Coturnix japonica: one gene and its partners. The protein of the gene in region 2 interacts with the protein of the main gene of each other region in a pairwise test. Links are inferred from orthologs where the notes say so. Each region holds a gene or a part of one and is shown on either strand. Other genes may lie near its edges. The genes, in order: KCTD9, LONRF1 and TRIM42.

Evidence for each region.
Region 1: the proteins of LONRF1 (region 2) and KCTD9 interact in binary tests that used the Homo sapiens proteins (3 or more experiments, as listed by UniProt). The two-hybrid records come from large-scale screens. The link is inferred for Coturnix japonica from reciprocal best matches to the Homo sapiens genes LONRF1 and KCTD9.
Region 3: the proteins of LONRF1 (region 2) and TRIM42 interact in binary tests that used the Homo sapiens proteins (3 or more experiments, as listed by UniProt). The two-hybrid records come from large-scale screens. The link is inferred for Coturnix japonica from reciprocal best matches to the Homo sapiens genes LONRF1 and TRIM42.

What each region holds. Positions count from the first base shown.
Region 1 is NC_029537.1:1,992,376-1,996,464, forward strand, and holds the start of KCTD9 (BTB/POZ domain-containing protein KCTD9), read left to right. Parts: upstream 1-1,278; 5' UTR 1,279-1,327; coding exon 1,328-1,375; intron 1,376-1,960; coding exon 1,961-2,082; intron 2,083-2,836; coding exon 2,837-2,880; intron 2,881-3,232; coding exon 3,233-3,329; intron 3,330-3,792; coding exon 3,793-3,851; intron 3,852-4,089. Other genes in the region: CDCA2 (cell division cycle-associated protein 2), read right to left, coding at 25-364. UniProt on the Homo sapiens protein: Substrate-specific adapter of a BCR (BTB-CUL3-RBX1) E3 ubiquitin-protein ligase complex, which mediates the ubiquitination of target proteins, leading to their degradation by the proteasome.
Region 2 is NC_029519.1:58,362,947-58,367,142, reverse strand, and holds the start of LONRF1 (LON peptidase N-terminal domain and RING finger protein 1), read right to left. Parts: upstream 2,802-4,196; 5' UTR 2,561-2,801; coding exon 1,984-2,560; intron 1-1,983.
Region 3 is NC_029524.1:5,100,700-5,104,772, forward strand, and holds the start of TRIM42 (tripartite motif-containing protein 42), read left to right. Parts: upstream 1-1,224; 5' UTR 1,225-1,376; coding exon 1,377-1,717; intron 1,718-2,776; coding exon 2,777-3,483; intron 3,484-4,073.

The DNA of each region.
Region 1 (4,089 bases), on a different chromosome or scaffold from region 2:
CTGATCACTCCAGCCTTGCCTTACCTGTAGATCCATTAACAAAGCTTTCTGGAGTAATCCCAAAATCAGCAGTTGTTACAGTTGCAAAATCGACACTTTTTCTCCTCTGTTTCTCTGCTAATTCGCAATAGGATTTTTCTTCTGCTTTGAGCCTTGCAGGCGTTGAGTAGCACTCATCTCCCAAAGGCACGGATCTACCTGAAACATTCTCTTTGCTGCTCAGAGGCTGGGCAGCTTCACCAACCACAGCCCTTTTTGGAGTATCTAAGGGACATTCTGACCACTGATGGCTCTCAGCATCATGATACAATTCCTGCTCTTGGCCTTTGGTTCCATTGCTTACGTTCTCTTTCTCAGATGCCATTTCAGGCTCAGTCACTTTGCAAACCTTCCACTCTTCTAATGGGGATCTCTTCAGTCACTGCAAGATTTCTTCTCTCATTGCCTTCATCTTCCAGCACAGCATCTCTAACCTTTGATGACAACGTGTTTTAAGCCCGAAGAAGCACAAAGTTATTCACTTGCCTCCAATAACAACAGCTCCCTGTTAAAAAATGACAAGTTTTAAGTCATTTGATAAGGAAAACAGCCCTGTAATGATATGAAATGACTGCAGATCTAGAAAACCACTTGGGGAGGGGGGAAAGGGGAAGAATAGGGAAAGCCTTATGGTAAGAGAAGCACAGAAGCTTGGCTATGGGTAAGGAAACACAGGCTTATGCTTTTATTTTGTGGTAAATATATACATTTAGCGTTTAAATGCCCGTTTTAAACGCAATTGAGGTATGAATAGTATAAAGGGGAAGGGGAAAGGGGGGGGGGGTTCTTTAGGTCTCTCACATCTTTCGCATTACTGGGTTTCTCTCAGGTATTAAAGCTCAGGGAAACAGGCCACAGCAGCAGCTCACGAGAATACGCGTTAGGTTCCACGGACCGGGCTGTTTAAGGCAATAAGGGCCATACAAGGGCCATACAAGGGCCATACAAGGGCCATTACCACAGACCCCCCCCCCCCCCACCTCAGCCGCCATCCCCGCTCTCCCCTCACGTTCGAACCGCGGAGCCATCAATGACCGTTACGCGCCGCGCCGCCATTTTGAATTGCAACGGTCGCCGTCCACGTGACAGCGCGCACCAATCGCGAGCAGCGTTTGCTTTTAAGCACCCAACTCCTGTTTTTGATTGGCTGCTGGTACCTCTGCTTCCGCCCACTCGTTGTTTCCCCGCCCCTCCTGCGAGGCGCGTTTCTCATTGGCCAGCGGCTTGGCTGCGATTGGTTATAGCTCCTGTCGCTCAGAGAGCGCTGACTTCCGGGTTTGGTGGCAGTATGAGGCGGGTCACGCTGTTCGTTAACGGCAGTCCCCGGAACGGGAAGGTGAGGGGTGGGGGGGTTGAGGCCTGTGGGTCGGATTTGGGAACCTGAAAGTGAGTTTCTGAGGTTGTTCTATTTTCCTCTGCTTGCTTTGGGACTGGAGGGCTGCCTACTGTGGCCGTGATTGGGGTAGTGGGGTCTGAGGGGCCGGGTTGAGGCCTAGGCCTGTGTATGGGGCAGCACTGGGCCTAGGCCATATAGGACCCATAGACCCCCATACAGGCCCCCATAGACCCCATACAGGCCCCACAACCCCATATGGGCCCCATAGACCCCATACAGGCCCCACAACCCCATATGGGCCCCACAACCCCATATGGGCCCCATAGACCCCATACAGGCATAACTGCTCTTCAATGCAGTTCAGCTCCCATTTAGTGGTGCTGTGCTGATAGAAACATGCCCTGAGCACATTAGGGATGTGCTGAGGTCTTCCTGTGCTGTGCTTTCTGTTGGGTAGCTGATAAATAACCTTTTTTTCTGCTCAAAGCTGTGAAGCAATGTCTATAGCAAAAGCATATCAGGTTTTAAGGCCCAATGCTGCTCTGGGATGGTAGCAGCCCTAATGTGGTTTCCTTCTCTTTGCAGGTAGTGGCTGTATATGGCACGCTGTCAGATTTGCTGTCTGTGGCGAGTAATAAGCTGGGGATCAAAGCAACCAGTGTTTACAATGGGAAAGGTGGGCTCATCGATGATATTGCCTTGATTAGGTAAGGTTGATCCCATAAATGCCAAGTCGTGGATGGAGATTAATAGCTTGTTAATGCTCTTAATAAGGGCAGGACCATCTTTCCTGTGAGGAAAGGCTGAAGGAGTTTGGCTTGTCTAGCTTGGAGAAGACTCCAAGGAGACCTCATTGTAGCTTTTCAGTAATGGAAGGGAGTTTACAAGCAAGAGGAGGGACTGACTTTTTACATGTTGTAATAGGACAGAAGGAAATGGCTTTAAAATAAAAGATGAGATCTAGGTTGGATGTTGCTGGGTGGGGCCCTGGACAGCCTAATCTGATGGGGGGCAAGCAGCCCACAACAGGGGTACTGGGGATCTTTAAGGTCCCTTCCTAAGCCATTCTATGAATAACAAGTGATTACCATAAAACCAGAGATTATTTTTGAAAAGGAGACAAACTATGGTATGGTTTTGGCTTCATGTAACATAAAGCACCTCAGAGTGGGGAGAAAAGGAACTATTTCATAAAATTAAAGCTGCTGAATATCAGAAGTGATCCCTACCTGGCTGATACAAGTCTCTATTGGTAGCATTTCTAGTGCAGCTGGTAAAATTGCAGTCATCTGGAACCTGCGAAGTTAAGAGAACAATCAGATTCTTGATTCTAACTAATGGAATCGGATTATCATATACCTGAAACTAATCAGGAGAGGATCCCAATGTTACTTAGATGAACATATAGCTGTTTAATCAATTTTTTCCTGTTTTTCTTCCCTCTGCCCTCTCCCCTTCCAGGGATGATGATGTTCTGTTTGTATGTGAAGGGGAACCGTTCATTGGTAAGTCTTTAACTCTTCAGCCTTCTGTTTACTTAGGCAGATAGTAACAGGACAAGGGGGGATGGATTTATGCTAAAAGAAGGAATAATTAGGGTAGCTGTTAGGAGAGTAGTGAGGCCCTGACACTGCTGTCCAGGGGAGCTGTGTGTGCCCCAGGCCAGGCTGGATGAGACCCTGGGCACCCTGATTTGATGGGAGGCAGTGGCAAGGGATGGGTGGGCTTTGAGGTCTCTCCAACCCAAGCCATTCTATGCTTCTATGCTTTGCTTTAGTGTAAATTTTGACCTGTTACCATATGGAGGATTCAGAAATGTTCACAATTCTAACATCTGTCTTCTCATCACCTGTGTAGATCCTCAGACTGATGCAAGACCTCATGAAGAGCTAACGGGGGCACATACAGACTGGCTAACACTCAATGTTGGAGGTCGATACTTCACCACCACACGGTAAAAATGAGGCTAGTTGAGCTGGAATTACCTTCAGTAAGGTTGCTATAGTAGCTGGGCTGTGTTCAGGTACTGAGACTTTAGATGCTCTTGAGAAAGAACAAGAAAAGTCTTTTGCTGTGGAGTAGGAAATCTTTTGCAGCTTTTTTTAGTATTAGGCATTTGTTGCCACCATAAACAGTTCACATATGTGCTGACAGTGGTGAAAAGCCTGAGCAGGTCTGCATTTATCCCTGGAACATTTCAGCTAATGAAGTGCTTTCTATTTGAAGTACTTTTGGTACACCTTAGATCAGAAGTGTGCTTTATCTCCTCTGAAATCAAATTAGCACAGAGTTGGAATGCATATCATGCACCGTTAATTACCTTCAGTGTGCCAAGGAAATGCATTCCTTCCAGCATATTGGTCTTATAGCAAAACTTTCCACTTGAAAAATAAAACTGCACTGCCTTTCTTTTCTAGGAGTACTTTGGTTAATAAAGAACCTGACAGTATGCTGGCCCACATGTTTAAAGATAAAGGTTAGTATCTCAAAACTCTCCCTTTAAGCTAACAAATTAGCCAAACAGGTAAAAGGCATTATTAAGTTAAAGCTCTTGTTTATGTGTTGAAGTATTAAAAGTATGTTAAAGCATCAAAGCACTACTTATGATCATTTTCTCTAGTTGTCTATTTAACCTTTGTTCATATAGTGTTTATCTCACACATTGAAACTAAAACTCCCATCCAGAGCTAATACTTTATAATAGAGTCTGTTTT
Region 2 (4,196 bases):
GTCTTACAATGGTGATGGAAAACCATACTGACTGCTCCAAAAGTAATGCCTCCTATTTATTTCCATGGAAACTACAACACTCACAACAAGTACAATAACATCATAGGAAAAATTCTCAGCTGAGGAACACTATATATATATTTTAAACACAGTCACCAAAAGCTAAGCATTTTCGCCAGCAATGAAGGGGAACCCGCATGCTGTGCACTTAAAAATCTGCATGGCCATCCAGAATGGGGTTTGTCTCATGTCTCTGTTGTCCCTGCTGAAATGCACCACCCACTGCCTTACTGTGCTGACATCCAATGTTTGGTCTCTATAAACATTCAGCAAGTCCTACTATCTGTTGCATGGCAACAAAATGTCATTGAATATTGGCAGGATGGAACAACCCCTACTGCCATATCATCACCTGCCTCTGAAATCATGGGCCAGCATGGTAAAATAGAAGGCATTACTTTTGGAGCAGCCCTCCTATCTAAATTCCATTATCGGATATTAACTAAACCAGAAAGAGTTTGTTTGAACAGTCAATTTTAGCAGCCCAATATATCACTCACTCCTGGCATATCAATACAAGTTACTGTAACTAAAAAACAAGAAGATACTGAACATCTTCTGGGCAGAAAAACGTGCATTGGATATTACTGCTTCTGCCTACTGTCAGCACAAGCATATTGTAAATGAATTGCTTTTGGTCAGGTCCTACATGCTTTTTACCTGGTTCTTAAAAATACACAAAATTCTTCAAAAATAAAAGCTGCACACTTTGTATTGGTGTTCAGAAGAACTACAGGACACGGTATGTATGAATGCAGTACGACAGGGTCGTTCCAATGGTCTGGGGTAGGAACACCTGAGAATAGGCTGAGCTAACTGGTCTTGTTTAATGAGGAAACACTGGAGGCAGCAGGGGAACCCAGCAGCCTCCTGAAATCCCACAAGAGGTTGCCTAGATCTGACACACACATTGGGGAAAAACAAGAGACAACGGTTATAAACCAGAATGACAGTATTTCTGCCTCTATACAAGCAGAAAATGTTTCACAACGATGGTACTTAAGCTTTGAACATGTTATCCCAAGCAGCATCAGAATCTTCATCCTGGCGGTGTTTTCATCGTCCAATGGGACAAAGCCTTCAGCAAACTGTTCTAACTCTGTGTTTGCCCTACTTTGAACACGGGGTTGGTGAACAGATCTCCTAAGGCCCCTTCAGCAGGAACAGGTCTGTGACTGTGCTCAACCTCGGGCGCGTTGGGATTAAAGCCTTCTTTTACATAAGGTAATTCCTTCCAATCCCTGCGCAGCACACGTAACCTATGCGAACGTTACCATTCCTCGTGCTTTTCAAAAGCAACGTGGTGAGAATCACTAACTTCTCACGCAGGTTTCAACAAATTTCCTTATGACCCGTGTAAATCAACGTTGTACTTCTGAACAAATAAAAAGCTCTACCGACAGCCCCAATATTTACAACAGGAAACGGGACCTGCGGGGCTGCCGACAAACTCCCAGCTGCACAACGCCAACACGGCGGGTCACGGTGCCAGCACCATCCAGGTGTATCCGCCCCCGAGCCGAGCCCGCAGGGCGCCCAAAGCCGCGGCCATACGGCGCTCCGCCCGGCGGCCCCGCCCGCCCCCCGCAGCCTCGCCCGGCACCAGACGGGGCGCGGCCCCGCCCGCCATGATGTCACCGCCATTACACAACCTGTCCCCGCCGTGCCTCACGCTTATGCAACCGGGCCCGGCCCGACGGAGCCGCTGGAAATAGGTCTCTGTCAGGAAACGGGGTTACGCGAGGCGCGGCCGCCAAGGGACGCACCGAGCCCGGTCAGCGCGGCGGGAAGGAGGCACCGGAGCGCACCTCAGCCCAGGGGGAGGCTCCCTGCGTCCGCTCAGCAAACTTGGAAAACTTCGGAGCACTGAGGGACGGCGTGCCGGGCACATCCCTCCCTGTCCCACCCCGGCCCCCCGCTCACCTGCCCGCAGCGCCTGCCCGGCGGCGCCCAACGCCTCTCGGTATCGGCCGTGTGCCAGCAGTTCCTCCAGCCGCCCGCCGACCCGCGCCCGCTCGCACTCTCTCGGGAACCACTTCTCGGCCAGCTGGCTCAGCACCACGCTGGTCCGCAGCGGGGCGGCGGCCGAGCCGGTGCCTCCCGCCGGCAGCAGCCGGTCCCGGCAGCGGCGGCAGCGGGCCCGCAGCTCCCTCCGCAGACAGCGGCGGCAGTAGGTGTGCCCGCACGGGACGGTCACCGGCTCGCTCAGGAAGCGCCCGCAGCCGCAGCAGCGCAGCGGTCCCTCGGCCGCGCTTTCGACGCCGCGCTCCCGGCCGCGGCCCGGCCCCTGCCGCAGGCGGTAGTTGAGCACCAGGCACTCCACCAGGGTCCCGAAGCGCCGCGGGCCGGCGAGCGGCCCGAGACACAGCGATGCCAGGGACGAACCCGCCGCTTCCTTCAGGCGGCCCCTCCGCTCCGCATCCGCCTCCTCGCCGAGTCGCCCGCCGCCTCCCGGCTCCGGCGACGCGTCCGAGCCCACGGCCACGGGAGAGAACGCCATCGGCTGCCGGCTCGGCCGAGGGGGGTGTGGCGCTGCCGCTCCGGCCGGCGGGCCCGGCGCTGCGCACGGCGCTGAGGCACTGGCGGCGCGGGGCGGGGGAGGAAGCGAGGCACCCTCCGCGAGGGGTGGGGTCAGGGGGGCGTGTCACGTGCGCGCCCCGGGGCAGCGGTAGGTGCGGGGCCGTACGAGCTGCCCGGCCGTACGAGCCGCCCCGTCCCGCCCCTTTCTAACGTCTCAGCGCGACCTCGCCCCGCCGCTTACATAAAGAGCCGTGTCAGCTGACCGCCGGGCCGGATCGCCATTGGTGGGCGCTCCAGGGGCGGGAGCGAGGCGGTTACAAAACGCTGCGCCGCGCGCGTTCCGTAACAGGGCGGGAGGGGCTGGGCGGGTGGCAGGAGGGGGCGGTGCGTGAGGGTGGGCGCGGCCGGCCCGTAGGGAACCAGCGTCGGGTGCTGCCCTGCCCCGGCTCCAGGGGGAGCGGGGGACGAGGGGAGGGGGTGTCCCCTGGGAGAGGGGTCGGTCCCGCCGCTTCGGGTTGTGGCTCCTATAGGCGGTGCCGCTCCTCAGAGCGCCTCCAGCTCCGGTGAGGGTCGGGCGATGGCAGCGCTGCTGGGGGCGGTGGGAGGGGGAGCAGCCGGTTTTCTCGACCGCTTTTTGTTGGCTGTGTATCGTGCCTGTGGGATGGCTGAGGTAGAGCTGGTCACACGGTGCTGTAACTACTAAGTTTTCCGGGAGCATAAAATAGCGAGCTCAGTGTTTTTGGGATGTCCCGGATCAGCTATAATTACAGTCTCTTTTCATGATACAATGTTGAGGGTTTCCACGTGTTTGTTAGCCTCTAAAGGAAGTATGGAATCCATGGTGTGACATCCAGGTGTATTATCAGAACTCATTCTCTCTAAACCCCATCCTTTATGTTTCTGGTGCCTTTCTGCTTCCTAAAAGATGTTTTGTTAGTTGAAATATCAAGGGGGAACGTGGATGGCTTTTAAATGTGAAGAGAGAGCAGAGTCTTGAAGTGGTTATTCGTTAAAATAGTCGCCGTGACTTAGGAAGTGGCAGCCTAAGGAAAGATCAAAGTAAAAGATGCTTGGAGTGTGGATTTGAATGGTGGTGGGATAAGGCAGAATGGTTGGAATCATGGGTAGTTTCAGTGGTTATCGCATCTTTTTTAGACTTAGGAGGAAATATGAGGACAAAGTTTCAGGGAGACAAGAAGGGATTTAAAGGAAAACCCTTTAGGAAATAGGGTGTAAATTCATTTCCAGTGCATTTTTAAAGGTTCACGTGTTAACATTCATACTGATCATTTGAACGTTATTGTCAAATCAGCTTTTGGATAGGATGGATGAATGGATTGATAGGGAGCCTGACACTATCCTGCTCCCACCAGTTTTAGAGAGCTATCTTTAGTATCTTCCTTCACAGCTTACTCTTTATGTGAGCAGTGCTTACTCTCACTGTAAGCCTTTACTGTCTGCTCATGTTTGTGACACATTCTGTTCTACATTCGTAGCTGTCCTCATTTCTCTTGGAAGCTTGGGACTTTATGCATCCAAAATACATTGTCTGGATTTAGGTAGACAAAAGTTTTTTCTTTTCCTGTGTGGTTGTAGAAAGATACTGACAGATCTCA
Region 3 (4,073 bases), on a different chromosome or scaffold from region 2:
TAAAATTAAATATGCACAGAAAAAAAGTCTTACTGCTGATAAAACTAGAAAGACAAGTGGTATAAACAACATCCACTGAATGTCCAGGCTATGCCATTCAGCACACAAATCTAATACTTCTGTGTGAAAATCTGATTGACATAATAGACTATAACCGTTGCAAAGAACCCATTATGTCCCATCATGTAGATGGCTGCATATAATGATACAGCCATTGTAGTCTGTAAGGCTCTGGATCAGTGAATTAGAATTTCTTTATGTAGAACAGACTTTCAGCAAATAGGATCAAGACCCATTTTAGTAATTCCCAGTTATGCATTCACCCATCATCACAAGCTGAATTACTAAATTTCAGGAAAACTCAGATACATAAAGTACAGCAGCCACTTATAAAAAGCAGCATTATTGAGTATGTATCATAAAGCTATCACTGTCCTATAAAAGTTTCCAGTAAGAGAACATGCTTTTTCAGATGTCAGCTGCAGGCAACTTAGTGGGTGGCTCTTGTTTTAGTTAGACGTAATCATTACAGTAAACTACTAGTATGCACTTCTGAGAAGTTCATGTATTTTTTACAATAATTTCATTTTTATTTAAAATTATAATCTCTGCAAATAGACAAAAGCACTATTTAAATCTTCAAATAAATTAGCTAAACAAAAGAAGAAAAAGGCGCTTGATATGAAGTAACTAAAGAATTAGGCCTAATACTGCATTTATAGAAGAGTGGTCAGGATAAGGGAGGTGAAGAAACACACTTGGACTTAGAGGGGGAAAATGCAAGTCCACTGTGAATGAGCACTGAACTTGAGCTCCAAGGATGGTTCCTTCCCCAAGTCTCGGAGGACCAAATGCCATACACTGTTCAAGCGCATCAACACTGACAAAGACTTATTACAGTTACAGATAAAAGACATACTCAAAGACGCATATCAAGTGTAAGTTTCCTTTACGTGTCATAGCTATATTTGAAGCCAACAAAATGACTGTAAAGTGTGTAGTTCTAACAAGACTGTTGCCTTGGGATAGCTAATCCCACTGCACAAACTATTCATGCTATTAATGGAGAGTGAGGTAAATGCTGTCTATGATTTCAAGAACAATTAGAAATATCATGACATATAGATGTTGTAAATCAGCATACAGAGCGTGTATAAAATGTGTATAAACATGTATATAGTACCCTGCCTGCATCCTTATTTGAATACATCACTGTGACATCACATTCCATTTAGAACAACATGCACTGCCTACAGCACAGACCTTAACCCTAGAGTCAGACAGATCTCTTGCCTTGTAGGAACCCAACTGCAATAATTTGAAGAGAAGCTAAAAGGATAAATGAACTTTCTTTCAGCTGTATAATGGAGGGATAGATGAAAATGGATATATGCTCATGCTTCTCAAACTGCTGTAATCTGACTTGCCACAGCGTAAAGAAAGAATGCCGCTCATCTTGGCGCTTCCTCTTTACAAATGAGCAGTACTGCAGCTGTTTTCCGTGCCCATACGAAGAGGACAAATCTTACCAGTGCTGCCACTGCTCATGTTCAGAGCATGCAAATTGCTGGTGGTGCTGTTGCTCTTGCTCAAGTAACCCAGACTGCAAATGCTGCTGCTGTGGTGGTGAGAATTCAACGTGTCAATACTATGCAAGCAAATGCTGCAGAATCTATGTCTTTGAACCACGATGGTCAAGAGCACCAGGGACTGCTCAGTAAGTGGAATCAAGGGCTTTTAGTTTTTATAGGTTTAAATTTTTCTAATTTTCATTCCATCTTAATGGATGTCTTGCATTTAGAAGTATAAGATCCAGTGGCTCAGTGGAGTATTTCAAACCACAGGATATCATTCTTTCTTAAAAGCAAAAAAAAACTTTTTTTTTTTTCCCTACCATTCTCTAGAGTGACAAGAAAAGAAATAGCATGGCTGAACATCTGGGCAGAGAAGGTGCTAAACTGAAGCATGGCAGAAGGCCAGATTGTAGTCTCCTAGAATCAGGAGTACATCCTGAATAATGATGCTCTTTGCCAAGGATATAGAAAATGGCCAGGATCATTATAAAAGTAATACTCTTTTTTTCAAACAATAATGTCCACTGGCTAAGAGGAAAGCCAGGATAATCAAGATTTAAAGAGAACGCAGAGAATCAGTTATTTTCTAAAATACAAGAATTATTCTAATTTTAATAAAAATATCCAAATTTTGATTCTTTCATGTTAATTGCCAAAATTTTAATGATGTAAGACTGCTGCTAAGAATAATCTTCATTTGTTTTAAAAATCAGAAATAATGAGTGATTTTTTAAAATAATTAAAATTTAGGATCCTTCTATGTAAATGTGTGTTGTTATTTTAAATTGAAAAGTTTTTTCTTTTTCATTTTATTTATTTTTGTGTTCTGTTTATAAAAAGAAGCAAATGAGAAGGAGACAAAAACACATTCCAGACTGCAGTAAACCAAAATGAAATCTGTTTTTTGGACACCAGTATTAACTCAAGAAATTCAGAGAGACTTGACAAGAGTAAGATTTCTGCCTACTCACATTGTTGGAAACAGCATTCAAATACACTGAAATAGTTACGAAAATGAAAAGAATGAATTCTTAGTATTGTTAACTTAACTGTTTAAATAAAATATCCTGTCCAAATAAAGGGACGGTTGGCATGCAAGATGGATCTGCTTATTTTATCATTCTGTTTCTTAGATTGTGCACTGATATTCTGCCTTACATTTTCATTTGTTTGCTTCCCCCCCCCCATTTGATTTGCTTAAGGTCAGGAGATGTCACATCAAGATTAAGAACTAGATATAGCACATCTGCCAGTATACCAGAAAGGAAAGGCTCCAGCCAGGCTTTTCGTGACCAGCTTGCCTGTCCACTGTGTAAACAGTTATTTCTCCAGCCACTTATGCTGCCATGCAATCACTGCATTTGTGAGAAATGTATAATAAAAAGCAAGACCAAAGCTGAAGCAACAGAAAATTATTACATCATCATATGCCCGGTGTGTAGCAAAGCTCATTGTCTCCCTTGCACAAACAAAATTCAGCTGAGGAAGAATTACCTTAGAGCAAAACTAGCCAAGAAATACATGCGCAGACATGGCATTCTGAAATGGAGATTTGACCACAGTGTAGGACCAGTCCATTGTGAAGCTTGCAGGGAGAGAAGAAAAGTGGCAACTAAAAGATGTAAAACATGTGGAATGAACATGTGCAATGAATGTCTGCATTTATATCATGCTGAGAGTGGAGCTGAAGACCACATTTTTACCAGTGCATCTCAAGAAGATAACGAACAGTGGGCATGCTTACTGCACCACAACTCACACCTCTCTGAATACTGTCTGGATGACCACAAACTGATCTGTTGTTTCTGCAAGAATTTGCAACACAGTGACCATGAGACCATCCCTTTGGCAGCTGCGTGTTCAAGAGAAGCTGCTTCTCTCTCCAATACAATTGTAAAATTTAAAGAAGGTTTGTATTTCTGCTGCTTCTTACACTTCCCTATGCCATTGCAGGAAAGATACTTGCACATACACTTGATGAGCCACGTTAATTCTTTGAATATCACAAAAGGCAGAAAGATGAACCATTCCCACTGTGGAAATACAGAGGAAAGAAGCCTTTAATTGTGTGGAACCACATGACAAATTCAAATACTAGAGAACAAAGGATTTGTATGTGAGATAGTGCATCTTGGTGTAGGAAACTCCATTTCATACTGCGAGACCCAGTGTGAAACAACCACAAATTACACCTACATTTTTAAATCAGAAGTACATGCCTTTTTCCCTGCAGGCAAATTATGAATTGTCTCTCTTCAGTCAGTATTATGATTGTGTCCATGCTGAGTAAGAGGCAAGACAGCCTCAATGTTCTGAGGAGCTACAGCAATGTCACTTCCTTTATCTAAGAGTTCATCCATAGTGTCTGAGTGACAGTGCAGAGACTGGGATTTTATGAATTTCTTTTAAATACTTTGATTTTTGCATATAACACCACAAATGCTGGGGACAGACAAAGTTGCACAGAAAACAGAATTTGGAAAGGTGATAGTGAACCAC